Arabidopsis thaliana: one gene and its partners. The protein of the gene in region 3 interacts with the protein of the main gene of each other region in a biochemical or structural test. Each region holds a gene or a part of one and is shown on either strand. Other genes may lie near its edges. The genes, in order: UVR8, ARF1 and MYB77.

Region 1 (11,768 bases), on a different chromosome or scaffold from region 3:
ATCATTTGAAAGACATAAAATACAGATGTTTAAGATCTGTGGATGTTTATATAGGATCTTCGAATTCGGATAATGAAATCATTTATACACTATTAAGTATTAACTTTGTAGAGGACTTAAGTATTCGAAATCTTGATTCAGGTTGTCAATCAAGAACCGTAATGTTTGATCTATAGAGCCATGGGATTAATGGATGCTAAAAGAATAAAACACTCGAGAAGAAGAGTACACGTAAAATCACTCACACACAAAGAATGAGAGATGGGAGAAGAATACTACAAAGTGTTTGTTTTTTTTAAATCGGCTCATATATAAATTTGGGCGATACTCTACTACCCACATTATTCTTTTAAACAATGATATAAATGTGTATGGCCTATGTAGCCGAACTTTTTACATATCTGACCTGTATATATATAATAATTATTTATCAAAGAAATTAGAGAAAGATTCTTCCACTTTTGATGGCTTATAAAAGATGATGACCCAAAACACTCAAAATGCAGCAGCAACTGCTCTCTCACCACCCATCTCCTCATTTCTCTTTTGCATTTCTTTCTTTTTTTCTGCATTGCATTCTTTTGAGGGGTTTAATTTTCTGCATAGCTTTGTCTAATCTCTTAGAGCTCAATAAGAGAAGGTACTATAACTGATCTCTCCCTCTTTCAAGTTTTTTTTTTGTTTGGTTTATAGAAAACTATAACCGCCATTATCCGTTAGTTTTAACCGTTTTTTGAAACTAGTGAATCCTCATAACTTTGGTTTCTCACTAAAAACAGATGGATGTTCCACGGCCAGCTTTCAAATGTTTTGATGACGATGGCCGGCTTAAACGTTCAGGTAAAAAATTTAAATCCCCTTGTTGGTTACTTGACAGTTTACACCTTTGAAATGAATGATCCAAAGAGAAAAACTGCGATTGTTTCAGGGACGGTTTGGACCGCGAGTGCGCATATCATAACCGCCGTGATTGGATCTGGTGTTCTATCGCTTGCGTGGGCTATAGGTCAACTCGGTTGGATCGCAGGTCCTACAGTGATGTTGTTGTTCTCTTTTGTCACTTACTACTCTTCCACGCTTCTTAGCGACTGCTACAGAACCGGAGATCCTGTCTCTGGGAAGAGAAACTATACTTACATGGACGCTGTCCGATCAATCCTAGGTATCAACTATCGTCTCTCTGTTTTCCTCCGCATATGCTTTGATTGCTCTGTTTTTGGGTTGTTTCTCTCTGTTTTGTTCTGTTTTACTCTGTTTTGTGTTCTGAAATGCTCTGTTTCTGGCAGGTGGCTTTAGGTTCAAGATTTGTGGGCTGATTCAGTATTTGAATCTGTTTGGTATCACGGTCGGGTACACAATCGCAGCATCTATAAGTATGATGTGAGTCTTTCTTTCTCACAAACTAGTTTATTTTGGAACACCATATAATGAGATAAAAGGCCTTAAAAATTTGGTTGTATCGGATCGAGTTTCAGGGCGATCAAGAGGTCCAACTGTTTCCACGAGAGCGGAGGGAAAAACCCGTGTCACATGTCGAGCAATCCATACATGATCATGTTTGGTGTGACCGAGATCTTGCTCTCTCAGATCAAAGATTTTGACCAGATTTGGTGGCTCTCCATTGTCGCTGCTATCATGTCCTTCACATACTCTGCAATCGGTTTAGCTCTCGGAATCATTCAAGTCGCGGGTAAAAGAAAATTACTTTGTAAGACTCTTCGCAGTAATCAACAAAGCAGAGGGTTTAACTAACTCTAATGTGTTTCAGCAAATGGAGTTGTCAAGGGAAGTCTCACCGGAATTAGCATCGGCGCAGTGACTCAGACCCAAAAAATATGGAGAACCTTTCAAGCACTTGGAGACATTGCCTTTGCTTATTCATACTCTGTTGTTCTTATTGAAATTCAGGTAAGATAAAGAACCTAACCAATATGGAATCTGTTTTCTATACGAGTTTACAAAATCTCTGACCTTTTTTTGGGGTGCATGTGGGTTTTCATTAGGACACTGTAAGATCTCCACCAGCAGAATCAAAAACGATGAAGATCGCCACAAGAATCAGCATCGCTGTTACAACGACATTTTACATGCTATGTGGTTGTATGGGCTATGCCGCCTTCGGAGATAAAGCACCGGGAAACCTCTTAACCGGTTTTGGTTTCTACAATCCGTTTTGGCTCCTTGACGTGGCTAACGCTGCCATAGTTATCCACCTTGTAGGAGCTTATCAAGTCTTTGCTCAGCCCATCTTCGCCTTTATTGAGAAACAAGCTGCCGCTAGGTTTCCCGACAGTGACTTGGTGACCAAGGAATACGAAATCCGAATCCCTGGTTTTAGGTCACCGTACAAAGTCAACGTTTTCAGAGCAGTTTACCGAAGCGGGTTTGTGGTTTTGACCACTGTGATATCCATGCTTATGCCGTTTTTCAACGACGTCGTAGGGATTTTAGGTGCGTTAGGGTTTTGGCCTTTGACGGTTTACTTTCCGGTGGAGATGTATATAAGACAGAGGAAGGTTGAGAGATGGAGTATGAAGTGGGTTTGTCTGCAGATGTTGAGCTGTGGTTGTTTGATGATCACGTTGGTCGCCGGAGTTGGCTCCATCGCCGGAGTAATGCTAGACCTTAAGGTTTACAAGCCGTTCAAGACTACTTACTAAACAAACCATGATGATGATGAAGAAGAAGAAGGTGGTGGAGAAAAAAACAAAAGATATAAATTTTAATATATTTCATTTGGGGAAATGTGAATAATGTAAAAGTTCTTCGTTTCGTATAATTTTTATCTTGCGTAATTTATATACATAATGTGTTCTCAATCTATAATTGATGTGGTGTTTATTGAAAGTTTGTTAACCAGATATGGATTTAAAGACAATAAACATACTAATAGATTTATGTAGAAAATGAATTATAGATTAACATAGATTTATGAAAAAAGGTTTTTTAAGAAAAAACAACTTGAACATAAGGTATAGTCCATTGCCGGAGTAATGCCATGAGATAATCGTAATGTATGAATAAGTGTATGTGAATATAAGAAGATTGGCGAAATGATATATGGAGTAATATTTACCCGAAATTAAAAAAGCAAGAAAGTGGTGGGAATGAAAGACTCGTGGATGAAACATCAAGAATCATTAGAAAGTTTGAAAGATGGCGACTTGGAACTGAAAAAGGTAATAACATGGAATCGAATCTAAGTGACATCGATTTGGAATAATTTAAGGGAAAGAAACCCGACACATAAAGAGAAACACTAAAAGAGCAATATGGATGGTTTTGCTTTAAAGAGAATCACCCACATAAGTTTTACCCAATAGAAAATTTTCACTAAACGCCAAATATATTAGGCAGCATAACTAGGTTGGCGGATGATGAAGGATCAATTTTTTTTCTTTTTGACATATCCATCACTTAGTCCATTAGAAATTCTTCGTATTCTAGACTCTTCGTATTGAGACTAGAATATATAGAAATACGAAACATGCATTGTGTGTTGGGCCTAAAGGCTAACCTACCCAAAAGTTGTAAACTAAAATACCCATACTACTCTCGTTCTCATCTGCGCTTCACACTTTGATAAAAAAGGAGAAGTTCAACTTGTTAATCTGTGATCACTGTTCTTCTTAAGTTTTGATCTTGATTGATAAAATTGTTTTTTTTTCCAAAATTCAAATACTCTAAAACTCAGCGGGTCACTATCAATCATATCATATTTGAATTCAAACATAGGCGGTAAAAAAATAAGACAAAAAGAAAATTCTCTTAAAACATAAGTTGTATAATGGTTGAAGGAAAAAACAGAAAACTTTTTAAGAAATGAAAGATATAGAACCAGAAGGTATTATTATGGTGAGGAAAAAAAAAGTACATACCCTAGAGACTAGTAGTAGTAGTACACACAGTTTACAACGCCCATGTAATAAGAGAGCTAGGGGGAGGGAAGCATCACAAGTTACAAACTAACAACAACAACAAAAAGTACAATCCCAAACTAGACAGACGTACTCTTAGTACAAACCTCAACCCAAAAGAGATCACTGAAAAACCTTCGAATCCAACGGAAGAACCGGAAGTAAAAAAAAAACGGAATTGACTCAGGCTCAAATTCGTACACGCTTGACATCAGTTTGTGGAACACTGATATCACCTCCATTACCTTTGCTTGAACCATCCGTTAGGCCCTAACACACAACCAAATTCAAAATCACACACATAGATTTCATCCTTGAAAACAATCCACGATCTTGACAGAGCAAGGTATAATTGTGCAGCAATGATTAATCAGTAAAATCTGGTTCTAAGCCGATATAATTGTGCCATTTGCTTTCATTGTAGTTTACGTATTGGATATAAAGTTTAGTAGAATTAACAAAATTAAGGCTTACCGTTTCATCAGGAACAACTGCATATCTCTCTGCAGGCGACACCCAGCTTTTCCCTGGTAACAAAGCAATGCAAAAGTTGAATCATTTAATCACTTGTTGAGTCGTTTACAGAAATCGTTTTAACTAGTGGTATTGTTTAAATACCTGAAGATGGATCGATATTAGAAGATTCTATATGTTGTCCACTTGCTCCATCGACGCTGAGTGCCTCTATAATCTTGGGAAAGTTCCTATAAACACCAAACCAAATATCCATTTCACATTATCAAGATAGGTAGTGAGTGGGATTGAAAAGCAATGATTTTGGTGGAAACAACGATCTTACTGGCCAATTTTCATATTCTGTTCGTAACACCAAGATATGTTAAGTGGAAAACATTGATTCATGAGCGATTAGATGATCACACTTTTACCTGTCAACCGACTCTCCAATGCCGAGCTGTCCATTTGTACCTCTACCCCAAGCAAACACGTTATTTCTTTCAGTGACAGCCAAGGTATGTCTCCATCCACATGAGACTTGAACTACTTTCTGTGAAATTCCACAATATGTGTGCATTGGAAAAGAAAACAGCGAATTGAGACATGAACTTATTAATATGATTATATAGCCGGTAAAACATTGGGACGAGCTTTCTCGTTAAACTTTTTTAGGGATAACATGCCTGATCATCGGGAAATCGCACTTGCACAGGAGAACACTGATCTAAATTATTGCCGACTCCTACTTGTCCAAACTGCAGGCTAAAAGAGAGACAATTAGAAGTTTGTTTTATTCAAGATGAGTTACTAAAGTTACCCAATATATGCATTGTTGTTTTCTTAAAATAACATCTAAGTGAATGCATATCACTCCTTAACAGCATAAAGCAACTAAATGCAAATATCAGTGAATGTGTAGATGAAAATAGGTGTTCTATACATTTCTACGAAATATAGGCCAGAAAAAAAAAAAAAAAAAGCAAGACATTCTAGACCTTATTCCAACCCCATCCATATAGTTTTCCATCTGAAGTCAATGCCATTGTATGTCTCCAACCTCCCGAAATCTGGAAAAGAAACGAACAGTAAGTCCAAAAGATGTCGAACAGAAGAAGAAAACCAACAGAAGTACATACAATGAAGCCAGTCTTCTTCAGTAGGTAATAGTTGTCAGAAAGTTTTCGAAAAACATATTATTGCTATCCCATATGTTGGATATTTCAGATGTACAAATTTGTATTTCAAGACAGATTTATAAGGCCTAAGTGAAACCTGGGAGATAAAACTGTTGCTCAGTGCTTCCAGTTTGTGAGGAATAAGGTGATCCTCCAAGTCTCCATGTCCTAGCTGTCCATATTTGCTCCATCCATAAGTATACAATGCTCCAGAGTAGGAAACTGATATTGTGTGCCGCCATCCACAAGCAACCATTGACATTTTCTCACCCTAAAATTGTAGTTACAACCAGGAAAACGAGAGTCAAGTGAGTCGAAATGAAAAGAGAATTAAGGAAAAAATTGAGGGACTAAAATGCAGAAATAGAAGTTGGTAAAAAGGTGAGGTTGCGTGATATCAATGTTATATGAACTAAATTTCATTTCATGAACTGTGCAGATTCAGGATACCAAACTTTGATCATTCTAAAAGTTTTATGGTCACTTCCCTGACACCCACCAACTGAAATTAGACTGCATATACGTGTGACTCCATCAATATAGACAGCTAATCCAGAATAGTGCAGTGCATATTGAGCTATTCACGATTTCTTTCACGTATACTGAACTTCAAATGCAAGTTTAAACAAGTAGCAGGTGCTTAAACAAAAATTATAGAACAAGAGTCTTCTAGCTTACACCAGTAGAGGTAACTCTTTCAGGAACTAAGCGGTCAGTCCGGTCACCTAATCCCAAATTTCCGTATCTTCCCCAGCCCCATCCATAGAGGTCACCATCTTCTGTAACTGCAGCAGTGTGTTCTGCACCAGCAGCAACCATTTTGATTCGTATTCCCTGCACCCATTACAAGTTTAAAGTGTTGATGTAACAATGGAGATCAGCGAAACTAACAACATAAACTCAGGGTCTCTAATCACTTAATCTTCTAGTTTACCTAGTCCGATAAATTATCAATAAGATCCTACCTTCTATCTGTGTTTTGCAGATAGTATAACACATAGACATCCAATTTAGTATCTACCACTCCTAAAATTATGTAACTTAAATTATGATTCTGAAGACATCTTCACCAGATGTGGACCCTTAACTAGTAACAGTCATATGTTTAAGAAGATCAAGTTGCAGAAATAGACCCAACATTGACCCAATTCTGAAGCATAGTATTTGGCAAGTTGAGGAAACTACAACGAAAAAAGATGTTAGAAGAATATTTAGTGATACAAACCTCAAAGGCTTGAATCTTCTGAGGCACTAGAGAATCTTCGGTGTCCCCCAGACCAAGTTGACCATTCTGGTTGCGGCCCCAACTGTATAAACAGAAGTCAAAGAGATATGTTGGAAAACAAGACAAGACAGACAAAACGTTTAAAAGGCAATGTACACAATAACCAAGATATATAGAAATGACACAGGACGCAATCGACATTATCAAATTCCGATGAAATTCATCTAATTGAGCTGAGATGTAAACTGTAAATGATTGCACATAAGGAGAAGAACAATAACAAAGAGAAAATACCTCTGGACCTCTCCTTCCATAGTGACAGCCAAACAATGACTATCCCCACAAGCAATCTGCTTGATCCGAATACCGTGCAATGCTTTGATTGGTAGCGGAGTAAACAAGTCGCTTGAGTTACCATGGCCTAATCTCCCAAAATCACCCCTGCAAAGTACACATAAAGGTTAGAGAACACGAGGCTTAAAATATGTGCAAATGAGTGTATAATTAGTTACTGTTTTCTACACAAAAATCTAGAGAGGAACTAGTGGTCATCATCTCATCCCGAATATATCAAACAGACTGAAGAGCAATTGATTCAGCAGCAAAGAAGAAGATAATGATGAGAAACAAACCATCCCCAACTGTAGACTTCCATGCCTGATTGTGAATAAGCAACAGTGTGATCAGCACCACAGGTAACGGAAACAATTTGGTGGCCATCTAAAGCGCTAAGCTGAGTCGGAGAAGGTCGATCCTCTGCATCGCCATGACCTAACTGTCCATCCTCTCCTCGACCCCAAGAACAAACAATGTCACCAGCTACAAAATCAAAACATAAAACTACTCATTAGTAGACGACGAAAGTAAGGGAAACTCGATTAAAGGCCAGATCAAGAGAATTCGCGAAGAGCACAGCCTACTAAAGCAGCGGATTTCACAATTCCGGTGATTATTTGAGTCCGTAATAGAAAAGGAAAAAAAACAGCGAAGAAGAAGAGAGACGTACAGAGAAGAGCGACGGAGTGGCTAGCACCAGCGGAGATGATAAGAACCTTACGAGGAGGAGCCGTAACTTCGTCGGCAGCCATATCCTCCGCCATGGATCACAGTTGCAGTTTTCACAAGATATTTTTTTTGGGGAGAAATGAATTTTGAAAAAAGTAAGAAATTTCTATTTTTTGATAAATTGGGAAATTTTGTAGCTTCTCTTTCACTATCCGTAATCTCTCGAGGGTTGAACAAGGAAAGACAGAGAGAGAAAGCGGTAGATGGTAATAAAGGCGCGATGGAGATTTGCACATGTCATATATCTGCTTTTTGACTTTTTTACTTTTGCTGGTTTTTTTATTTTTTGTTTTAACCGTACAGTAAATCTCTTTTTTGTCGTACAGGCTTTAATTGCAAAAGGGTCCCTCTTCACTTAATAAATCCAAATACGGACCTCACCGGTAAAGTTTTATACTTTCATAATTTCACCATTTCTTTTTTTTTTTGTTTCTTGACCATTTCATTTACCTCTTCACATAAGTAGATTTAAGCCAGTACACATGACATTCTAGATCGTAACTTGTGTTTTATGTGTTCATCATTCACAGGTGTAAGGCGCATAGATCGTAAGAGCCTAATCATATGTTTTTAGTCATGCACACGTGTGAAAGTATACACGTTAGTCAAAAAAAATTCTGAGTTTCATAGTCCAAAGTGACATATCCAATTTGTCTTTTTAGTTATAAATATTCAGTTCAGCTATTTTAGTTTTTCAAAGAGGTCAAATTAAACCTGGATTACAATATGGTGTACAGTTTGTCTTTTTATTATGATTCTGATTATCATATGAAGATACGTCTTGCTACATGTTATTTTATTCAATTATTCAAAATGCATGGTTCTACATATGGAAATATACAGATATACGGTCTACTTACAACTTGATTTTTTTTTTTTTTGTTAAATTACAACTTGAAGATTCTACTATCAACAAAACAAAAACAAAAAAAAATCTTCTATCGATCGAGCGAGATATTCAAATCAAAATACATGGTCAACAGGTCAACTATAGATTCAAAATATATGAATACCTAAATATTCAAATTAAGATATATCAATTCACGATCTAAAACATCCAAATATAGATTTTGCGAAAACGGCCAAAGAAATTATACATAACGGATAAAAATAAATAAAAAATTACATACGGATACTACTTAGTAGTACTTACTAGATTACCTAAAACCCATAATCTTACATATACATATGGATAAAGGTAACATCGATGAATTACTTGTTTCATCCGATCTGGAACGAATATATCACCTCGCTCGACCTAACATTTATGTGAAACTAAAAGGTTGTTTACATTGAGATAAAACCAACATTATATGCTTGTCAGTGAGGGAAGTTGTGACATCTATTATAGTAAGAAAATTAAATGAATGAAGATATTTTTGCATTGCCTGATACATGCATTATATGTATTGTCCAATTTTGGCATTAAAGTCAACGAGACAAAACTCTAGATCAAGATGGTCTCTAATGTTGACATTTGTTGCGACCTCTTTCAAATGGGTTCATCTCATCATTCATCACACAAATTTGTTGCATTATCTTTTATAATCTTGTTAAATAAACATCATTACGAACAATTTGTGGAAAAATGGAAATTATATGAAAGCCATTGGAAGTACTATATACAATTTAATGCACATGACTTCAACAGAAAATACTAGAGAGACAAGATAAGACACCTATAATAATTTAAGCTTGACATGAAGTGCTAAACAATTACTGTTTAGAGACATATATGCACATGAAACTAGGAAAGAAAAAACATTGCGGTGAGTACATGTCAATGATTGTCGATGAACAAATTACAAAACAGTAAAAATCAACACCCACCCACATGGGTTCCGGTATAAGGGTCAAGTTTGGCGATAACACAAATTTTAGGGTTTGCAAAAATGTTGTAACCATAATCGGTGATGAAATATGGAAGATCATGTGAATATTTAGATGATGAAACTATTTGGCTGAAAAGACAGTTAACTTTAAGCTTTATTACTTGAGATGCCCCGTGACAGACAACGAATGACCTTGGAGAGAATCACACAGATGATGCTAGAGGTAGCTTTAATGTGTTATATTTGCGAATGAAGATGCTTCACGCTCCTGTCGAATTCTTCTCTCTTTAGAGAAAGAACAGACCATTATTAGTTTAGCCCACTCAAGAGAAAAAACCGAAAACAATTGCAATAAATGCTTCAAAGTGCAATAAGGAACCATAAGATAGTTAGCATCAACCTCCACTTCATACTGTCTTTTACAAGAAGACATACATTCATCTGAACAAATTGCTACCAAATTCGGCATTTAATAAGCTGTCTCGTTACTTAGGATTTTCATAACCACACAATTTTTTGTTGGATAAGATTCTAGTAATGTGTCAATATTTCAAAGGAAAACTATAATGCCGACAGACACATAACTTGATCCACAAACTTCCATTGGACTAATCTACTACTCGATTTATCATTCAGTTAAAAGCAATTCTATACAATGAAAGTTACTGCAAGTTTGACCTCTCAAGATTTAGGCTAACCTGACAAAACAGAGCAAAATCTTACAAGATTTAGGTTTAAATAAGACGTGTAGGAACCAAGAAACTAAGAACTACATGAGATTTAAGATGGTTCTTATTTCTTCATCTTCCATACATAACTTAAATGTGAATTCTACAAATGATTTTCTTCATCTCTTTTCTTTACATTTGATTCCATTTTATGTTTGCAAATAATGAGCAATCACAACAACTGTAAAAAACATCAATTCAAGATACTCCTTTTCAGCTTCGGTCAGCTATTTGGTTGTTCGTTATTGGTGTCCATTGCTGACTTATCCATCTCATCATCAGAATCAATGACATTTTCAAAGTCATAATATGGATGCGCCTGCACATTTAAAAACCGATGTCGCTATGTATGTGTATCAAAGAAGTAAAACAACTCGTTGGTTCATTATCAGCATCGTAAGTTAGTTACCTTTGGTCGCGGTTTAACAGCTTCGAAACTATGAAATTGAGGATCCGAGAAATCAGGCGCCTGCAAAATAATATATGCTCCTTTGTTTTTGTACCTCTCTTCTGTTGCCTACACCACACACAAAAATGATTGTTAACGCATATCTTTAGAAAATGCAAATACCAAAGGCGTAAAAATACATACTTGGAATTGCGGATAGTCAGGTGCACTGAAAATAGTGATAAGCTTTCCGGATTCGACATTGTGGTCTATTGTATATCCATTGTCCATTCCACCAAGACCAGTTCTCTTCTCTCTAGCATCTGGACCTTCATGTGATCTGATGATCAACTGCACCAATAAGTGTAAAACATTTGATCCAATCATCCATATCAGTATTTGGGAAGCAAACAAGCATCAATATCTACTTTGGTGTCACCTTCAGTTCATATTTCTTCAAAAAATCCTCTGTACAATCGGGACCCCAAAGAAGACCAATGCCTCTCTGTTCATTTGGTGAAAGGCCCGGAGTCATTGAAGGATCAGACCATAAAACGTCTCCTGGTATCAAGTTTGAACCTTCCCAAGGAGGATCAAGAACTGATCTTCGAGCTTGCATCAACTCATCTAAGGTACCGAGTTTCATTGAGCTCGGCTCAGGTTCCAGAAGAACTACCCGACGGTTCTTTTTCCCCCTTGTTGTTCGCTTAGGCAAGACTGGGCTGCGGAAAAGCCCTCCATGTGCTGTATAAACACGTCCAGAAATTATGGAAGCCAAAGGAAGACCTTCAAAGCAACCCAAACATTTCCGGTACACATGTTTTCCCTTGTCTCCGTATTTTGTAAGCACTTCCTTCTCGAAACCATACATAGATGTACAATACTTTGACTCATGATTACCACGGAGTAGGTAGACTCTGTCCGGCATCAAAACCTAAACAACCAAAAAGATATGTGCTTTAAGAATACTAAGACTTGAGCC
Region 2 (11,532 bases), on a different chromosome or scaffold from region 3:
TATTCTCTCTGCTCAGCTAAAAGTGAATTTGACCATTTGAAGAGGCTTTGGTCCATAACTTTCTGTCTTTTATGACATTGACAGGTCGAAATAGACGTGGAGAGTTTTGTGCAGTCTTTCAGACCTGATATAATGGAGGCGGTGTATGCTTGGGCAAAAGGGTCCAAATTCTATGAGGTCATGGAGATTGCTCGTGTTTTCGAAGGGAGCTTGATCAGAGCGATAAGGAGAATGGAGGAAGTTCTGCAACAGCTCATAGTAGCTGCAAAATCTATAGGAGAAACACAGCTTGAAGCTAAACTAGAAGAAGCTGTTTCCAAGATCAAAAGAGACATTGTATTCGCGGCGTCTCTCTACTTGTGATGTCGTGCTTATTTCATCCTGGCAACAAGATTATAACAAAAGCAACGAATTTTGTTTGTACCATCATTTATTCTTAAAGTCTTATAATGTGTACTAAGAACTATAAAGCAAGAGGAGATTTATCATAATTTTATTTTTGACCATGACCATTGTTCAAGGTAGAACAAGACGTGAAACTTAATTTCCATATTTCCCGTACAAAAGCTACACAACTCCTCAAAACACATTGCATCTAAGTGAATTCATAAGACTTGAAGACATAAAACTTCATTGCTATACACAGACATCTCAACTTTCATATTGTCTAACGATCTCTTGCTTCTGCTTTCATATTTCCTACGTGGCAAGTACATTTAAAACATAACACAGTGATATACTCATCTTGATCCCGCCATAGATGATGATCTGCCCTCTGTATTCCCATTTTCCTCTGCATCAGCTTTGAGCTGCATCCTTGCATTGACTGCGAGTTTGTTCTTCGGTGAAAGTTTCTTCACTTCCTCAGGTGTGTAGATGAATATCTTCCTCACCATTCCACAGAACTCACTGCAGCACAAAAGAGAAGACCAAAATGATCATCAACGGTAAAGCAAAAGGACACATTACAGCAGATGATGCTTTGCAATTTTAACCACTGCTTTATTTGTTGACACCAAACAAAATTTAGAGTATTAGACAGCAAATGCACTTACTTCCATGGATCATCACCAACCATCATCATGTCATCTTCATCATCGGTGTAAACGACTTGCCATTTTTTGGTAGATTCTAAGAGTTCACCCTTGATATCAAACATCTCTTCCAGCTTCTTGAACAGATCTTCATAACACTCTGACCTTGTCAAATCAATAGCTCTGCCTACTGCACTGCCTTGCATGTGCACCTAAATCAAATTGCCAAAAACATTGCGTTTTAGTCAAAAGCAAGCCGCAGACACGGTCCACCAATTTAAGACCAATATTGGAGTTGTGACAAAAAAAATTGATCTTCAAAGAAAGAGCGAGCGATACAAGAGGCTAATAGTCACACCTTTGTGCAGCTACGTATCTGTCTACTTTGTGATTCTTGAGGAGACCTCAAAGAGGATTTCTCAGGGTCACCACTCCCCGAAGGAATATCAGATTGGTTGATGTTTAATGGCTCAGATTGCTGGCCAGAGTCAAACTCGTTGGATGGGACAGGTTGATCTACAGCGACAGCACCAGACACAGAGGCAGCAGAGAAACATTCATCCACATTAACATTTTCAACTAGCTCAAACCCAAAAAGCCTACAGACATTTCCATTAGTTTGTTTCTTTTCAGTAGATTCATTGTTAAACGCTGAAGCAAAGGATTCAGCTGCACTATCTGCATTGGTGGGCCAAAAGGCTGATCCAATAGATACTCCAAATGATTTGTTCCCACCATGACCAAACGTAGCAGCTTTGGCAGGAGGAGAGAATAATGGCACTGAGGAAGGAGTGTCTGCCGGGGATTTCCACACACCATCTGGAGTAACTGAAGAGAGCATCAATAAAAAGAGCAAGAGCCGCCACAAAGAAGAACAGTTCAAAGAGAAAAGAACACAGAATACCAGGACCAGATGGACCAGTGGCTGGTGAAGGTAAACCAGGAGGTCTTGGTCGTTTGTTCCTTTGCGGAGGCTGAGGTTGTGAAGACGGAGTACTATTTGCAACTAGGGGCTCAAGTTCCCAAGGTGAAACTCTTTCAGGACGAAATACAGATGAGGGTTCGTCCCATTGAACCTGAAGCATGATCAGATTGCCAATAAGCATATTAAGATGCATCACTCTATTCATTCAACTAAGAAAATACAAATCCACAACTTGCTCCACTGCAAAGTATAACAGTAGAATATTCTAACCTTTAGCGATCTCCATTCAGAATCATGCCAGACCGAAGACTTATTTTCCTGAACACCAACTATTGTGCCACTGAACCTGCATAGTTAAAACGCACACAAAAAAAAAGACTAGAAGTTATATTCAGCTTTATCAGCAAAAAGAAAACAATATAGTTAGTTTTGATACCTTTTCTCGGGAGCTTCTTCCCCCTCGAATCTCATCTTGAAACGCATGCCTACAGACAGCTTCTGGGTCTTAGCTTCGAGATACCTATTGACGCTCACAATAAACTCTGACCTACTTGTCCTGATAATAGAAGATATGTCAGCCTGGATTTGCAGCAAAATGATTATCATCAAGCATATGCAGGCAACAGTAACTCAATGGAATAAGATGCATATTTATTAAAAAATGGCTGGTGTGTCCGTCCCAGACCGGCTAAATAAATCTAACATAGCAAAATTTTCAGTTTCTAAATGGAGCTGAAAGTCTGATGCAGCAACTGATGTGTTTTGGACCATTTGATGAGACCTTGGCTTGTAGAAGACAGAAAAGATTGTTCCTGTTGTAATGGCATGAGCTGCTGTTGCAAGGACCCCAATATGCATGCTATGACTTGAAATGACAGATGACGGGATATTAGTCTGTTGTCTCATGTGCCGCCTAACACCTACTCGGAGCTCTTCATTCTCACCCCTGAAAGATAATACTATGTCACATGTCCAGCCGTATGTGGCAAAAATAATATCCAGACGAATGAAATGAGGAGCTTGCCTTAAGAATATGAAAGCATCACCAGCCACTAGTTTCTTCGAGCTAACAAAAACACTCCATCCAGTTGTTAGCAAATGACGCCTTGGTTGGCCTGTAGTCACAACCTTATGATTAAAACAAACGTGAAACAATAATATTAATGCAAAATTATGTAAAGCTTTAAAGGTTCCCAGTAGCAGTAGCATTGGGGTAAAGGAACCACAGTTTAAAGACCATCTCATAATAAGATACCAAGTGTATTAACCTCGGAAAATGTGCCTAAAATGCCATTCACTATTGTGCAAATCAGTTGCAACCAATTCTTGCCACGGTGGTTGTTGGGACATATCCTAGAAAAGAGAAAGCAAACTGTTACACAAAATAGCAGTGGAGATGTTTCCAAAAAGCAACCAGAACACCGGAAGCAAGTCTGACCAAGGGTGGGAGACAATCATCTGCATGTCTCCGTAGCACCGAGAAGCCACCATGTGTGCTTGTGTCTGAAGCAGTTAGTGTCTTGCAAAATGAATGTACGGTGCACTTTTCAGGTTCTTGAACAGGGGCATCTGGGCTAGTGGGTTCGCTTTGCTGATAACCAAACACAATAGTTTCACCAAAATCAAGTACAGGAAAAAAAATTACCGAACCGTTTTTTGTGAAACACCAAACCATCAAAATTTACTTACATCCAGTTCTGGCAATAAGGTTATTTGCGCATATACTTCGTCAGTCTCGGGCTCTGCCTGAGCTTGCAAAGTGAAGCACAACAAGGTATAATATTCTTTAGCCAACCCATTTCATGAAGAAAAGGTAAGAAACTTTTATCATATATCATGGAATTTAGCCTACCCTGCGCTGGATGTTGATAACTTTACAGAGGATCTTAGATGGGAGGTTGAAGGAAGGCATCTGTTGCTCCAAACCTTGGTGCATTGATGCCTCGAGCTGCACAGGAAGTGACCAATTAAATGCATAAATGTGATAATCAGATAAGATGAAAGAAACAATAATCATGTGAAATCAAAACAGGTAGTGCATTTATCCGTTCTATACAACAATACATGTTTTGTGATTTTACTTTTAAACTAGAAAGCACCAACAAGGTATTTTGAAGCGACAGTTGACACAGTAATAACAGTCCAATTAACATAACCGGCTTTAGCAAATGATAATGTTAAATGATTCAACCCAATAACCAACCTGCTCCATGTGGCCTTCAGGGAAATAATAAACTCGTTCCCCTTCACGAGGTAGGGTTACAAGAGGTCCAGCACAGGCATGCCAGAGCTCCCTACATAAAGCATCACTTAAAACTCCTACAAAGAAACAGATATGGGTTATGTGACGCAACAATATATCTCAAAAACAAAGCAATGGTTGCAATCTCCAAGGCTTTAAAACCCTTATCCAGTTCTTAATCATCCATTTCAAGTTATGCAGAATCCCCAAACAAGCTTAGAAAGTGGATTCCCAGTAGAAAATAGCAAAGAATGGTATAAAAACAAGAAATATTCCACGAACCTCCAGGTTTACCAGATGAATGATTGGAAGCTGCCATTAGGAATCTACTTACTTTCGATAAATTTACCTGGGCAACAAAACAAAAGAAGAGAAAACTATAAGATTGAAATGTTATTCTGAAAGAGAAAAGAAGAAGATGGACCTATCCTCCTCTAATTTAGACAAACAAAACTCTGATAGATGTTATTATGTAGAAACATTTAAAACCCCATTCATAAATTTACTGACAAAAATGTGGGCCATTTATGTAACTGCTTTGTTCTACATTGTGTCTAAAGCACATCACAAGACTCAGATTCTCAAAATTTTATTACCCAATTTGAAGAGAAAATCCAATAATCACTCAAACAAAGAGGTAAAAAGAAAGAACAAATAAAGCAAAAGCAAGACAAGAACCTGCTCAATAACATACCAAAAATGAACAGATTTTAGTCCTTAATAACTTCACACAAAGCAACACCAAAACTGTTACTAAAACCATCTCTACAATGACAAGACTTCAAACTCAGAACCTAAAATTATCATACAGAATCAAATCTAAGAGAAGAACACAACAGCTACAGACAAAATTTCAGAACCACCAAAGAGAAACCTCATTTAGAAAGCTTGAAAAGGAACGATTTTTAGATCAGGAACGAGAAAAAGAGTTGAATTTTGGATATGAAACAAAGTAACGATTCCTGATCTAGATTATCCCCAAAATCAAAATCCTAGTAAAATCGACAAACCCAGCTCAAATCTGACTACAGATCCTCTAAAGTCTCCTCCTTTTCCAACATTTACTAAGCAGAACCAAGCAAAACAAGCAAAACCCAGAAATAAAAATCGAACCTTTAACTTAAAACCACTGGATCCAAAGCGAGCTAGGGTTCAAACAAAACCCAGAAAGGGGATAGAAGAGAAACTAAGAATTGCTGTCAAAAAATAATGTAAGAAGAGGAAAAAGAAAACAGTAGAAGATTGATTTGTAACAAAGATGTGAGAGAGAGAGAGATAAAGGTGTGTATGTAAAGGTGTATACACACACCGTCAGTGTTTGGTTGAAGCCGACACGAACCCTTTGGCTATGGCTTGCCTCTTTTTCTCCTCTCCTCTTTATATTTTTTTTTAATTGTGTCGTCGCTTTGGGTTTTTGTTTCCAACCACAAGCAAATGACTTGCTCTCTAGTCTCCTTAACTTTGAAAAAAGAGCTTTTCTTTGAGAAAAATTCACTAAACTAGCCATAATTAACGGATTTATTGGGTTTAGCTGTTAATTTAGTAGAGATTAGTGAACTTGTATGTTTTTAGACTTTGCATACATATTAAGAATTTTTTTACTACTACAAATATATTCGTGTTTAATAAATATTCATTAGTTGTTTTATTAATTCAACCCTAGTTAATAGGAGATAAAATTAAAAAAAAATCTACATTTATCTTTATGAGACAATTTTTGGTTTCTTTCTAAAACTTATATTATAAAGAAATGAGAGAGTAATTATTTTTTCTGTATTTCAACATTATGTGAATTGAAAGGTGCATCATGAATCATGATTTTTGTATTTTCAAATTAGATTATATATTTAACCAAATTCATATGAGTGACAAAATTAATATTGTCATATGAATCTGTAATGTTTTTATCTGGAGCTCGGATTTGACTATGGAGGAGACACTAGTGAAGAGATTTTGTAGCGATTTAGTGCTATCATGTGAATCTCATCCATTATTTCTGAGGGTATTTTTGTTGAAAACAATCAAGTGTAGCATCTTCTCGCTTGTTTTGCAAAATTCCAAAACCTATTACTTTTTCTTAATTCTTTTCAAAAATATGTCTATGTAGCATCCTAATTGTTTCTTAGAAAATACTCAAAATATGAATATAACATGTGACAATTCTGCTAGAAAAAGAAAAGAAAAACAAAAAAACTGAAACACTCTAGGCAAAAATATCAAGCATCAAAATTGATAACGAAGTTCATGTAGATAGAATCCAAAAATCCTTGAGCTAAGAAAGCGGCACAAAGCGAGACCACCCAATTCTTCCAAATATTCTCTAACAAATAAATGTATAAAATTTTTTGGTGGTTTAAAGTTAACTACTAATCTAATCGAATGGAGATGGAGAGCGAGTTAGCTTTAAATTGGGCATAATGATTTGCTACTAGCCTAGTTAGAAGAAATGACAGTCCACCTAAGATGAAATAATCTGTTATTCTAGAATTTCTGACAGAGGAGAACCCTTTGAAATAAGATATCTAAGAACTTTCGACGTTTAGTTCTGGAATCCTAAGTTTCTTTCTCTCTTCTTAAAAGAGATATGAAACAGGCTTTGAGATTTGAGATTTTGTTTTATTTTTGGCAAAAACATTAGTCATCGCTTCTTGGCCAATTATTTTTGAAAGTTAATTTTTGCCCTTAATATGATTCTCTTTTTTAAAAAGGATAGTCTTTTTGCTTAGAGGATGGCTCTGATCACTATGTATGTATATGAGGCTCATCGTCCTTTGATGTGAATGTATGAGAAGTTATTAGAGTTAGCATGTAGTTTATAAACACGCATTAATGGTACAGTTAACCAAGGCCACAACAAACTACTTCGGCACCAGCGTACTTTTGAAAAATGTGTCCATACTTGATAGGACAAAAGCGGCGGAATACCATGAACCGTTCAAGATTTGAAACCCATAACCCAAATTTGGTCGTAACGTGGTAACTTGATAAATATAAATTCATATCCTTTGATTCATATAATCATATTCATAATAAAGCAACTCGACCCGTATAAGCATACCTATTATTCTGTTTTACTTTAAATAACTCACTACGTGAAATATTTGACTAGGAATTTTCACATGAAAGTTGTAGGATTACTTAATTACATTAAAACTATATATTTTAGTGTGTTTAAACAGTAAATAGCACAATTGATTACATAGTCCCTAGTGACTACTTTCATATCTTTATATATTTTCTCTTTAAAAATGTGTCATTGATAAAAGTAATTTTGAGGTTCATCTTTGCATTGAGTGAAAATCTTCAAAATAATATATAGGTAAACATATAAATGATTCCTAACATATGATTGAATTATTGTTATTCGTTGGTATACCATTCTTAACAAATTGATTCTTTTTAAAATTTATGTACCATGATAAAAATCGTAATAACTGATTAACAAAACTACTTTTATTAAAATAACAATGCATATTTATACTAGTTGAAAATGACTTACATTGTGTGTAAAATGTTTATTTTTTCATGCGATATTAGTATTGATTTTAGCAACGATTTTTTGGTTATAAAACACAAAGGTCACCACAAGCGATCTTCGAATATGAGCAAAATGCATTAGAGAAAGTTTGAGAAATGAAAAAAAAAAAAAAATCAATCTCTCATAATCTCATTGTACTCATATTCTCTCGAAGTGAAACACCACATCACAACTAATTTTATCATTTTTAATGTAATCTCTCAAATTGCGGAATCTACTCAAACTGGTGGTGGCGACAGTAAAATTCAACGAATAGATTTTTATTTGTTATTCATTAACTTTGAAAAAAAACTTGAAACTTTGACAAAAGTTATATTTATAAAATAAAACCAATAATTTCAACTCAAAAATTACACTACAATAATACTATTAACTTTGTTGATACTTAATGCAATTATCAAATTTATATTTATTATTAAAAAAAAATTGCATGTGTTGTTAAATGGAAAATAATGCAAACCCACCAGAGTTCCTTACAGCTTCACTGCTTGTCTCCTGTGGTGGGGACTCAATTGAGATTCACGCGCTGCAAAAGAAGCATACCACTTGGATTAATAAAATGATTTTTGATTAACTAGTAACAAAATTAGAGATTCAGGCTATCAGTAATAATTAATGTATGCTTAATAATTGAGCTTTTTTGTCTTTGACAGTACCACCACTAGCTTTACGTGTTTTCTTCTCGGTAAGCATGGACATGTCTCCTTTGTCTCTAACCAATCTTTTTATTCTGATTATTTCTTTTTTTGCAACCAAAACCTAATTTTCTTAGTTCTGAAATTTAATTCAAAAATAGAAAACTTTCTTTAAACTAACAAGTTACATAAAGAAAAAAAACATAAATGTTACAATTAGTTTCAACGGTACGACGAAACTAAATAACCTGTTTTGGTCTTTATTATTTTATTGAGATATTAGAACTTCGGTTTTAGGCGTTATTGGATACATATTTAAGGGTTATGTGTTGCTCTTAAGTCTAATCATGACTCATGAGTTGAACCAAGTCGATTTTAAGGTGAACCGATCTGTTTCCGAGGTGAACAAATCCGTTCCTAAAATGAATTTTGCAATTACTCATTGTTACTTTGTATTTAAAAAGATAGCAATGATCAGTAAAAAAAAAGAAGAAGAAGATGGCAATGAGTTGGCATAGACTTTTTATTGCGGTAATGATATCATGAACACAAGTCATGAAGTAAAGGAAACATGAGAACATTTCTAGTTTTTAGTACTTTTTTACAGAAGTTACCCTGTAGTTCAAACATTAATCTGGTTCGGCCCCGGTCCGGTTTTTTATTTTTATAACGTTGGGCTCTAATTGGAATAATGAATATTTGCCAAGCCATCGTTCACATTATTTTCAAGCTTTCCAAAACAATATACACACATTCATTAGTAAGCCCAATCTTGAGGCCCAATACAGACCTATTAAAAAACTCTTTAACAGCCTACCATATATATTTTCCACTCATAAATTCAAAAGCAAGATACATTACGATTTGGAGTAACGTTCGTTATAAAATTGAAAGTGACTAAAATTACAGAGAAGGTATACCAAGGAGTACACAAAAAATATAGTGGAAAATTACTTTTAAAGTCAATATTAACTCAATAGACGTAAACACATAACAATCAGGAATCATATGATCATCAATTGATCACAGGATTATGAAAGCATGCAAGTTACGAGAAAAATATTAGTAATAGATTGAAAGCATCATAATACAATACATTATCATTACTTTGTAAAATCAAACCATATAGAAAATCTATAGACTATTGCATGCATGTTGCTAAATTAACAGCAAGCCCTAATTATAACGTATTCATCTTGGATAACCAACAAGAGTAAGTATATTAAAGTTTTTGATTTTTATTTTTAATATATATTTTAGTTTGCAAAATATATTTCAAACGACACCAATCTGATATTACAAGGTAGCTCGTCTTGTAATAAGAAAATAAAAAAAGGTAGCTCGTCTTGATTTCTAACATCGATGATTTTTATTTATTTATTTTGTTTAAAACATGAAATATACGGATTTAAATTCAACGAACGACTTTGAACCTCAGTTTGTGTGTATATATATGGCTATATCAAGTCGATTAGAAATCATTAAAAGATAGCTTCTTGCATTTCGTTGTACGTTTTATTCGAAAGTACCAAAAACAATCCATCAAGTAAAAGTAAATCATCTTGGATTCCAGTAGATTCACCGATGGATTTGAATTCTTGGCAAAAAACAATTAAAACAAAAAGATAAAAGATTATTATTTTTATTTTTTCTTAAAACAAAAGATTTGAAAGTCACATTGTGTGAGCTCAAGATCACTTGAGAAGCATAAGGTTGCGATAACGCTTGCGCTTACGTCTTGCTGTCAGAGCCGTGCCTCATGTACAAAAAATAAGGCATTTGCCTTAGGCCACCAAAAATTAAACAAATAAAAAGGCCACATTTTTCCTAAATTAAGTAAAACATTTATTTTTATATAGTGTTTTAGGTTTTTTTTTTGGAAATAAAACTCAAATCATTAACATTTATATAAAATTTTGTTTGTGTTTCATTTTCACTAACTACTAAATCTTGTTTATTTATTATTATTATTTTTTAAATCAAGCAACATTTTCTTATCCTTTTACATTAAAAAAAATTTCTCTCAAAAATATAATATGTTTGGCCACATTTTAAAAATTTGTCTTAAGCCACAATGGACCTTGGCACGGCACTGCTTGCTGTGATAATGTTTTGGATATCTTTGTTGATGAGGTTGAAGAGAGTAGCGGTTGGGATCGAGACATGGTTGTGAACTACACTTTCTCTTTGTTTCCAAATGTGGTAAACAGTTGACTGCGTTGCTATCCTCCTAATGAGGTTCTTACTTTGTAAAAGCCAAAAAAATCTATGATATTAACATTCATAGCAACAACAAAAAGAAAAAGAAAAAAAAAAGGAAGATTCAACGTCATTATATTTTACTGACAAAATTTAAAGATGAGGTATCCACTATTGAATACGCTTGAATAGTAAATATATCTAGAGATAGTACAAAGAGTAAAAATCGCATTTCAGAAACTCAAGAGCGGCAGGAAAATAATACAAAAGCATCACAAATTATGAAACCCACTTCTTGTAATAACTCTATAGTTGAAGTAACTGTGCTAAGTGGGAGAATGTAATAATGCCATTAAAATGGGGGACAAATTGATGCAATATTTTAACCATCAATGAGTAAAGTAAAGTTGAATATAAAGAAACTATTAATACTAGTGGATAAAGGAAGGACGAGCCAATCTTTAACACCCAACATGTTCCAGACATGTTTCTTACCATTAGATTGTGTCCAAATTGAGAACATCATTGAGGAAATAACAAATCCATCACTTTTCATCGTGTTCCTCTTTTCTAATTTACATAGATAACTTTTGTGGGAAAGAAAATGTTGGTGTTGTGTTTCCTGTTTGTGTACTGTGACAATGATTCCGGTAAATTTCGATAAAGAACATTCGAGTTATCTTATCTGGTTAGTCTCATACTAATTAGTTTCATTAGCTGATTAGTATCAGAGTTAATTATCATTATTTGAATACTTCTGTTTGTAATTGTTGATACTCCAATTTTACACTTGCATGTAAACAAGCTTAGATGTGAGAAAAAAAAACCATAAAAAAAGTTCTTGTAATAGTAACACAACGATGAATTGTTCAATATTTTTCTTTCTCTATGACCTTGAGTTTTCAGAAATTCTCTCGATAATCTTCATCATTAATACTCTCTGATTTCTCCGATGATCA
Region 3 (8,529 bases):
ATAAACAATTATAAGAGTCAGTTACTTGCCTTGATTATAAGTTATGATATACACCACAAGTTTGCAAGAGATAATAAATACCTTGCAGCGACTTGGAAGCAAGTATCTTTAAAATTTGGATCAGGACCATCAATCTGCTTCAATGTGGAAACTTCTCTCATTACCTTCAATACAACAAGATAAGAGCCTCATGTAAGATAAGCAACAGAGAAACAGGGAACTTAACTAAACATTAACAATTCTCAGAACAGTTCTTACAGCTTCCTCAAATGCCGCAAATGCTGCGTCTGGAAGATAAGCATATGTTGTACCACTGTCTAGTACGGCGCCATGTTCCCCGTCAAAGACTCTCGAATGAAGAGACAACTGCTTCCCAGCAACACGTATCCCCGTCAAATCTATATTGTAATATGGACTGTCGCCATCCCGAAACTAGAGTAAATGTGTGAAAGGTATTAAACGTATTTGTTAGGATTATACAAGATCCCATTCACCAATCAGAAAAAGCCATTCCCTTGGAAACATACCTACGATCAGGGTCCGAGTCCGTAAACACCATATCAGATGGATAATCAAAACCGCCAAGAATCATCGAACCACCACCAACATCCATCCCTCCATAACACAAACCAAAAGAGTTGCTTATCAAACCTTTATCCACCAATTGATCAACAAGACTAAGATCTCCTTGACCTAATCCAATAATCCCATCAGCACGTTGACTATAAAGATCACCGGTTTCAACAGTTTCACAACCGAAAACAGCTCGTTGAGGTGTTAGCTGGCTTTCATTGCCAAATGAAATAAGATCTTCTCCAAGAACACCTTTACTACTACTATGTTCAGCATACTCTCTCTCGTAAACACATTGTTCTCTATCATCATCACAATTACAATCCATGTTACACTTAACAGGTTGATAAGTGCTAGACATTTCTGGCTGAAATTTTGGGTCCTGATCAATAACCATAAGAAAGTTTCAAAATTTGCAACTTTACACGAGACAAGACACAAGATTTGGATATCTAGAGCCATCATTACCTGGTGTTTGCCACATTGTTCACAATCAGAACAAGGAACATAAGTAACAGTACTACCAGAATCAACTATAAGAGCAAACATTTGTGGTGGTGTACCAATCCAAAGCCTCGTAGTGTAATACCTACAAATACGATATAATAGTATATAAAAGAGACATCTTTACATGACCCAGATCGGGAAATATGGAAAAGGAGATTACCCATTAATAAGAAGATCGTCGTAGAGTCTCATGCGAGAGTGAGGAAGTGATTTTGAGTCGGATTTGTGGAGTTTTCGATGTGGGATTGATATGGATCTCGAAGAAGAATTTGGTTGAGAGAGGAACAATGGGAACACCATGGGACGTCGTGATCTAGCGGTTGGAGATTGGTGGAGGAGGTTGTTTTCACCAGCTGTGATTGAATAAGGAAGAGATAAATAGATTAGGAGTGAGAACGTCGCGCCGATTGATGAGATCGACGGCAGTGCCATTTGATCTCCGGTTGGATTTTTCGACCGTACCGTCGGAGAAAATTGGAGGGGAATCAAAAGAGCTGAGTGAGTGGAGAGAAGAGGGGAGACTCGAACGTAACTTTAGATCTACGGGAACCAAAAGCAGCTTTCTTTGAGACAAAACCCAGTTATTGAAACGACGTAGCTTTTGTGTTTTTAACGCATTTTTTTAACCTCTACTTTTTAACATCGCTGTACCAGTGTTTATTTATACTGTAGAATGGTTAAATAACATAAAAATCTTCCTACAATTTATTTGAAATCTTTGGCATGTTGTAAGAGATTTTACTCTATAGTAATTAAAAAGTATGTATTGTTTTGTTGTTGTCAGTTTTTTTATAGATTTAAAACGAAAAAAAAAAACTGATTTTCTAGACAATGTATTTATTTTTTGTAAGAATGTAGAAAGATTGATCTAATTTTTACGATAATTTCTAAATTGTCGAAAAATAATTATGTTAACAAAAATCCGATTTGACAGTAATTAATTTTATATAAAAGTGAAGTAATCTACCAAACCTATAGAAAAGGTTTAATTACTATCTATAGACTATAGAGTAAATCTCTTACAACAAGCAAAAGATTTTCAAATAAAAGGTTCGAATGTTTTCAAATAGATGTTAAATCTATACCTTTGTTGATTTTGATACTACATGTTACAAGGTCTCACTAATCATGGTTACTGTATAGCTCTATGAAAGGATTAACATGAAATTCATCTATACAATATGTAAGAATGTAGTTATCCTACATTTTGTTGACTAACTCAGTATGTCTCTTTGTATGATAATGTCTCACTAATCAAGGTTCAATTTTTAGATTTAGACTTGTTATAGATTTTGGTTATGAATCACCAAAACAAGTAACAAATATTTGAGATTTAAGATTATTCCATAGAAATTTTAATTCCTCTGTACATTTTGTTTTTGTTTTTAATTTTACCATAAACCCCAAAAATGAATGCTCTTGAAAATCCCCAATCGATTCAAGTTTTAACCCTAAACCAAAACTACTCAACCTTAGGTGTTATTACTCCACAATCCCTAAAACCACCATTGCCGCCGGATTCGTATAAACCTCCGACGACGAATCCACCACTTGTTTTCTGCATTTCCGCCATGTAACTCCTCACTTCAGCTTTTATCATCTCCTGCACCACCGTCATAAACTCACCTCTACGTCCTTCTCCTCTCTCCTCTACATTAATCTTCATCTGACTCTCAAATCTCGGAAACATCAACGCGTTGTTGTTATTGTTATGGCTCGAACTCGTGTTCTCAGCTCCAGGTAGTGACAAACTCAACGAAGTAGGTGGATCCTCCGAAGACGAAGACATTTCAACCGGTAACGGCTGCGGAACCACCGTAAAACCGCCGGAAATCGGCATTGGTTTAAACAGCTGAGCAACAGGAGACGACGGTGACGGAATCGTGCTAGAATCACTAACATCGATTCCGTTAGGACTCTCAGGACTCATGTACAATCCAGTATCCACCGGAGCAAAAGCAGAATCAAAGCTAACAGATCTCCTCTTCTTCGGCCGATCCTGATCTTCCTCCGTCTCCGTCACCGTCGTAACCGCCACACCTCCGCTGCATTTCCTCTTAAGCGTAGAGTTCCAGTGATTTTTAACGGCGTTATCCGTACGACCGTTAAGAAGACGAGCAATCGTCGCCCACTTGTTACCAAACTGAGCACGGGCGGTTACAATAGTCTCATCTTCCTCCGGCGAGAAAGGACGATGCTCAACCTCCGGAGATAACTGATTACACCAACGTAATCTACACGATTTACCAGATCGACCTGGAATCGATTTGCTAATCGCAGACCAATTCCTCGGTCCGTATTTCTCAACCATCCTTCGTAGCTGCTCATCTTCTTCTTGACTCCATGGACCTTTAACACGATCCGCCATTGAAACAGATCTTTTGTTTGTTTGTTGTAGAGAAGAAGAAGAAGAAGAAGAAGGTGGAGGAAACTGAAGAGAGGAGAAAAAAGGTATTTATAACAGAGAGAGAGATAGAGAGGAGGATGGATAATAACCGGTAACCGGTAGAGACGGTGGAGAAAGTCATGCACCGCTTCTTCCACGCAAGCGGTTTTGAAAGTTTTGGGATACAGCTGTAGGTGTACACGTGTCGTGATCTCGGTGCGTCTGTTTATTAGTTTATGGAGCGTGTGATACAGTCGAAAGAGAGAAAGGGGAAGCACGCGCGCGTGAGAAGAGAGTGGGAAAAGAAGGGAAGTTAAAGCGACAAAATCACGGAAACCTACAAGGAAAGAGCTCTGATATTATTCGCACAATCTGAGGTGAAAAATTAGAAAGCTGTTTTGAATGTTTATTTGAAAAATAATAATAATATCTGAGACGATAACGGTTAGGTTTGGCAGTTTGGGTAAAGACAGTTTTTTATGCAGATTTCTGACTTTTTTGACTGGACACGCCAGCCTGTATTCCTTGTTATGCAAATTTACCCTTTTCTCTGAAACTTTTTTCCTTTTATTTTATTTTGTAGAATACAAAACGACTAATTTGAATTTTTTTTTGAAGTTACATAAGGTTTAAAGTTTATGGGTCGGGAAATATTGGAGGATAAAATTTGATCACAGTGTTCTAAAAATATTTTTGTTTAATTTAAATGTTATTTTTGTTATTGTATTGTATTATTTTCAAATTGGATGATATATTTAAACAATAAAAATAAAACTGAAATTTTTGAAAATATAAATGTGTAGAAAATATAAAACGACATTAGACTGACACAAAAATTAAAATGCAAAACGACATCTAATTTGAAACGGAAAACGTATTAGATGTTTTTATAAAATATGTTTTGATTCGTTGAACTTGAAACGATATTCGTAACGCTTTTGACCAATAAAGTTTATACATAAAATCTGCATAGAATATAAAACGACGTTTAATATGACACAAAAATTAATATGCAAAACGACATTTAATTTGAAACGAGAAAAGTATTAGCTACTTTTAAAAAAGTATTTTGATTCGTTGAATTTGAAACTATACTTGTAACGGTTATGCTACGTTTTAATTATTCATAGATTTCTTTTTTTTTTTTTCTCGAGAATACAATACACATAATTTAAAATTTGTATATTTTTAAATTTTAAAGTAATTGCAAGTATAGAGCTGGCACTCTTGAAAGTAAAATTTTGATTACACATTTTTAAAAAAAAACATTAACTAATTTATGACTGGTTAAACAGTAATTGTAACAGTTTTGAGCGATGAAATTAATATTTTTTACTTCCTTTTGGTTTATCTTTCTAACTGAAAAAGGTTCAAACTGCCTAGTGCTACAAATTTGGGATAAAAATATTTGTATCGTTTATAGAAATGTGGTTCAGTTTTGTATGGTTTTTTTGTCTGTGACTATTTGTTAATGGTACGTTTTTGAATGCCCCAAATCAAAGTCATATAGTATTTACACAATACGGGAAACTACATTTATATGATTAGATACGATTAATATTCTGTTTCATAAACTTGTTACAAAGAAACGGCCACACAAGATAAAAGTAAGTGGTCGGAAAAATAAAAATAAAATTTGCTGACATGGACAACACGACAAAAGAGTGTTAGGCCAATTGGAATGTGAATGAAATCATATTTATTTATAATATATAGTTTTTGATTGACGAAAATCCAGGCTGTAATCCTCAACAAACAACTAACTGTCGTCCATTAAGCAAACTGCCACGTGTCAAATTTTTGGAACTGTTTTTGAAATTGTGTGTAACTGTCTCTTACGTTAGTAACGCACTAAACGTCATTTGCACCTTCTTCCCAACCTTCATCGAACGGTTTCACAACTTATTTTTTAATTTATCTTTTTCCGTATTTTATGTCGAATTAGTTACATACTAATTAGTCAAATTATAAACGGATTACCGAAACTATTTCAGTTTTGATGTTGTTGGTTTTCAGTTTACTGACCAAACTTTCCCTTAATTGTTATTTCTTTCATACTAATAATACATTCTAGTGACGAAACTAATATTATATGCTGTAATTTTGGGTCTGTAGAGATTACGGGTTTCGGCCCAAAACCTCCTAATATTTTAAAAAAATAAAAAAAAATAATAATAATAATACACTTAGTCTTGGTTATAAAAGTTAACAATATGTTTACTTTTATTATGTGTTCCACATTCTAACATGTCATATTTAAATGATGGTTTTCTTGGTGTATTTCTAATCGAAAACTTATCCTATTTAGGTTATATTATATGGGTTGAATTAGACTATAATATATACCATGTTAAGTTTTATTGGTTTGTAAACTAAATTGAGGATTTGTAAATTGTTTCGTGTTACTTTTTTTTTTTGTCGTAAATTGTTTCGTGTTACTTAAACATTGTTTAGATCTATTTCATTTCGGATCCAACATTTTATTTTGGGTCAATGTATAATTGACACGTACTTTTGCTGTACACTTAGCTAGATTTTGAAAGATGCACGTGAACATTTGGTGAACACATATACCTGAGAGACGGTGCACGATGTAGAATATAATTCCAACAATGTGTGTCTTAGAAACATTGTAATTAAAATATTGGTAATAGGTTGTTGTCAAAAGGAACAAGACGGTGCACGATGTGTGAATATATAAATCAAAGTATATCATTTGCTGTTTGTTGTTAATTAGGGTCCATGCTTCGATTGTCGGGTTTGTTCTCCTAATTTTTAAATTCATTTTTGTAAGGTTTGCCTAACAGAAAAACTCGTTCGATATATCTAAACAACGATAAGCTTTAAATAACATAAAGATCATAATACTAACACACGGTGGTAGATTAGTCGGTGTAAGAGGCGGAAAAACAAATATATGTTGACTGAGTTCATTGTATCATTCGAGACTTTCGAGTTATTTACCATTTAGTGGAATTTTATTTACAGGAATGAAAATTGTTATCTTGTCCCAAAAATATTCGTATGAATATGTTCTCTACACATATACAAATAATAAGTAACATTTAGGATAAACTGTATTCGTATTTATTAAGATATTCATGTTGTTGCCGTTAGTCATATTGAGTGTTAGTTGTTCCATTTAGCCGAGCTCTCTTGGTAGCAAGGGTTCGATACCATTCTCTTCCAATGTGGTTAAATGTGTAATTGTATAAAGTTAATTCATTTTTGTTACTTCTATTTAGAAAATAGATATAGAATTGTTATTCATAACTCACCGTAGACAAACTAAAAATTTAGAAAGCCAAATTGGAATATTCAAATTTTAGCATTTTAATATTCATTTGGTTGAGGAGGAAGAGCCACCAACCAAACCATTGAGTCTGATCATCTTGATATTATTGTAATTTATGTTTGTTTAATATGATCTTTTTAATTTCATTTAAATTAATATTATTGTTTATTATAATTAATGAAAATCTAAGAAACAAAAAAACTTTGTCTTCTTCGTTTATTCATCGTTCGACTATGAAAACAAAACATATCCAAAAAATCAATTGCGAGATTGATTGAAAAAACAAAAATCAACAAAAATATATATAAATAAATTATATCATATGAATTTATATTCAACAAAATTAATTACTTCGTCATTTTTTATAGTGGTGCAAACAAAAAAACTAGTTTGGAGGTTTAAAGAATTAGTAAAATTACTTTGATGGTTTATAAATGTTAGTAAAAGAAATTCGAGGTGTACCAATGACACTTTGAAGGTTAAAAATGTGATTTCTTCTTTTTAAAATCTCTTAAAGAACTATGATCTTAAAAAAAAAACTTATGGTTGTATGAATGTATTTCTTATTTTACAATGATTTTTAACATAATACATATATTTATTTGTGGTTACTAAAGTACAAATTTTGTTTTGTTATGACATCATACATCATAATAATGTGCAAGTTAAATATGAAAAAAAAAAAAGAGTTATACATGACTAAATGTCTCATCTTTTTGTTATTTTTCATAGTTTGTTGATTCTTTTGTTAATATCTAAACTTTACGTAGCAAATAAAAAACCACAAAATTCTTTTGACAAAGTTCAGTAGATTGAAAGGCAAATACATAGAAGATACATGAAATGACAAAAGTATCCATCATCCTTTCACTTTTGACCGACGACCTGCATTAAACGGCTTCACTTTGAAAATTTTTAGCCGCTTATTCGCCAACTAAAAGACTTGTCCGTACTGTCAACAACACATGTAGGAAGTAGGATCTTTCATGTGAAACACCCACGTGTATACTACTTGCATGCACGTGTGCTTCTAAACCCGTCAGACATCAGTAAAAATTTATACTAAATGGGCCGTATCAATCTTCATTTGTTAACTTTGGCCCAAAACGGCTCAACAAATAGTAAATACGTCATCATCTAGTGATGCCATCTTCAATTCTCAAGAAACCAACGCTTATAGTTACTTATTTTCATTGTTGTTTCTTATGCATTATGGTGATGTATGTTTTCAGAAATTCTAGCTACAAAACTGCGAATAGCGAATTGTTGTTTTTTTGGGGTCAGTTTAAGTTGATCCAACTTAAGCTTATCATCATTTTGAGATTCTGAGTGCTATTTTATTTCAAACATTATGGAACTTCATATGATACTTAGTTAATGTTTACATGCTTGATTGAAGATTTAGGATCTAATACGTCAACGATGATTTGACTTTTCAAAAATTTTGAGACTTTGAGATTTTCTACTGTAAGACTCTGTTTGTTTAGTCGTCTCATATGTGTCTAGTAATGAATATTGGAAAATATCAAATGTTGGATTTTCAATGGACTCATCACAATCAGAAATGATGATGAAAACTTTGGTGTGAAACCTCTGACTTGTTACATGAACTAATGAACAAATTTGTAAAATTGTTATATTAGAGTATCCTAAAAAATATCGTTCTGAAGCGACTAAGAGCATGATTATAGGTGATACTCATAAAGTATCACTAAAAAATGTTTAGTATTATTTATAATGTTTGTTTAATAGATATATATATATATTT

The links.
Region 1: the proteins of MYB77 (region 3) and UVR8 form a complex in vitro, tested with the Arabidopsis thaliana proteins (one study listed by BioGRID).
Region 2: the proteins of MYB77 (region 3) and ARF1 form a complex in vitro, tested with the Arabidopsis thaliana proteins (one study listed by BioGRID).

Annotation. Positions count from the first base shown.
Region 1 is NC_003076.8:25,550,715-25,562,482, forward strand, and holds UVR8 (Regulator of chromosome condensation (RCC1) family protein), read right to left. Parts: upstream 8,786-11,768; 5' UTR 8,702-8,785; intron 8,271-8,701; 5' UTR 7,874-8,270; coding exon 7,780-7,873; intron 7,593-7,779; coding exon 7,406-7,592; intron 7,215-7,405; coding exon 7,068-7,214; intron 6,856-7,067; coding exon 6,774-6,855; intron 6,383-6,773; coding exon 6,227-6,382; intron 5,820-6,226; coding exon 5,646-5,819; intron 5,441-5,645; coding exon 5,369-5,440; intron 5,129-5,368; coding exon 5,057-5,128; intron 4,924-5,056; coding exon 4,805-4,923; intron 4,622-4,804; coding exon 4,536-4,621; intron 4,445-4,535; coding exon 4,392-4,444; intron 4,188-4,391; coding exon 4,107-4,187; 3' UTR 3,702-4,106; downstream 1-3,701. Other genes in the region: AAP4 (amino acid permease 4), read left to right, coding at 780-840, 929-1,162, 1,287-1,380, 1,476-1,690, 1,769-1,908, 2,004-2,660; PP7 (serine/threonine phosphatase 7), read right to left, coding at 10,622-10,717, 10,808-10,915, 10,991-11,137, 11,226-11,720. UniProt on the Arabidopsis thaliana protein: UV-B specific signaling component that acts as a UV-B photoreceptor and plays a key role in establishing UV-protective responses in plants.
Region 2 is NC_003070.9:21,973,402-21,984,933, reverse strand, and holds ARF1 (auxin response factor 1), read right to left. Parts: upstream 5,596-11,532; 5' UTR 5,511-5,595; exon of another isoform or gene 5,315-5,510; intron 4,551-5,314; 5' UTR 4,521-4,550; coding exon 4,484-4,520; intron 4,279-4,483; coding exon 4,163-4,278; intron 3,908-4,162; coding exon 3,812-3,907; intron 3,706-3,811; coding exon 3,649-3,705; intron 3,551-3,648; coding exon 3,398-3,550; intron 3,313-3,397; coding exon 3,228-3,312; intron 3,075-3,227; coding exon 2,984-3,074; intron 2,906-2,983; coding exon 2,741-2,905; intron 2,516-2,740; coding exon 2,396-2,515; intron 2,306-2,395; coding exon 2,230-2,305; intron 2,111-2,229; coding exon 1,939-2,110; intron 1,863-1,938; coding exon 1,393-1,862; intron 1,247-1,392; coding exon 1,056-1,246; intron 910-1,055; coding exon 741-909; 3' UTR 501-740; downstream 1-500. Other genes in the region: MTR4 (RNA helicase, ATP-dependent, SK12/DOB1 protein), read left to right, coding at 85-363. UniProt on the Arabidopsis thaliana protein: Auxin response factors (ARFs) are transcriptional factors that bind specifically to the DNA sequence 5'-TGTCTC-3' found in the auxin-responsive promoter elements (AuxREs). Seems to act as transcriptional repressor.
Region 3 is NC_003074.8:18,555,604-18,564,132, forward strand, and holds MYB77 (myb domain protein 77), read right to left. Parts: upstream 3,724-8,529; 5' UTR 3,449-3,723; coding exon 2,543-3,448; 3' UTR 2,004-2,542; downstream 1-2,003. Other genes in the region: AT3G50050 (Eukaryotic aspartyl protease family protein), read right to left, coding at 82-164, 259-415, 528-955, 1,042-1,162, 1,241-1,512. UniProt on the Arabidopsis thaliana protein: Transcription factor involved in auxin response. Functions in auxin signal transduction and modulates lateral root growth. Interacts with ARF response factors to promote auxin-responsive gene expression.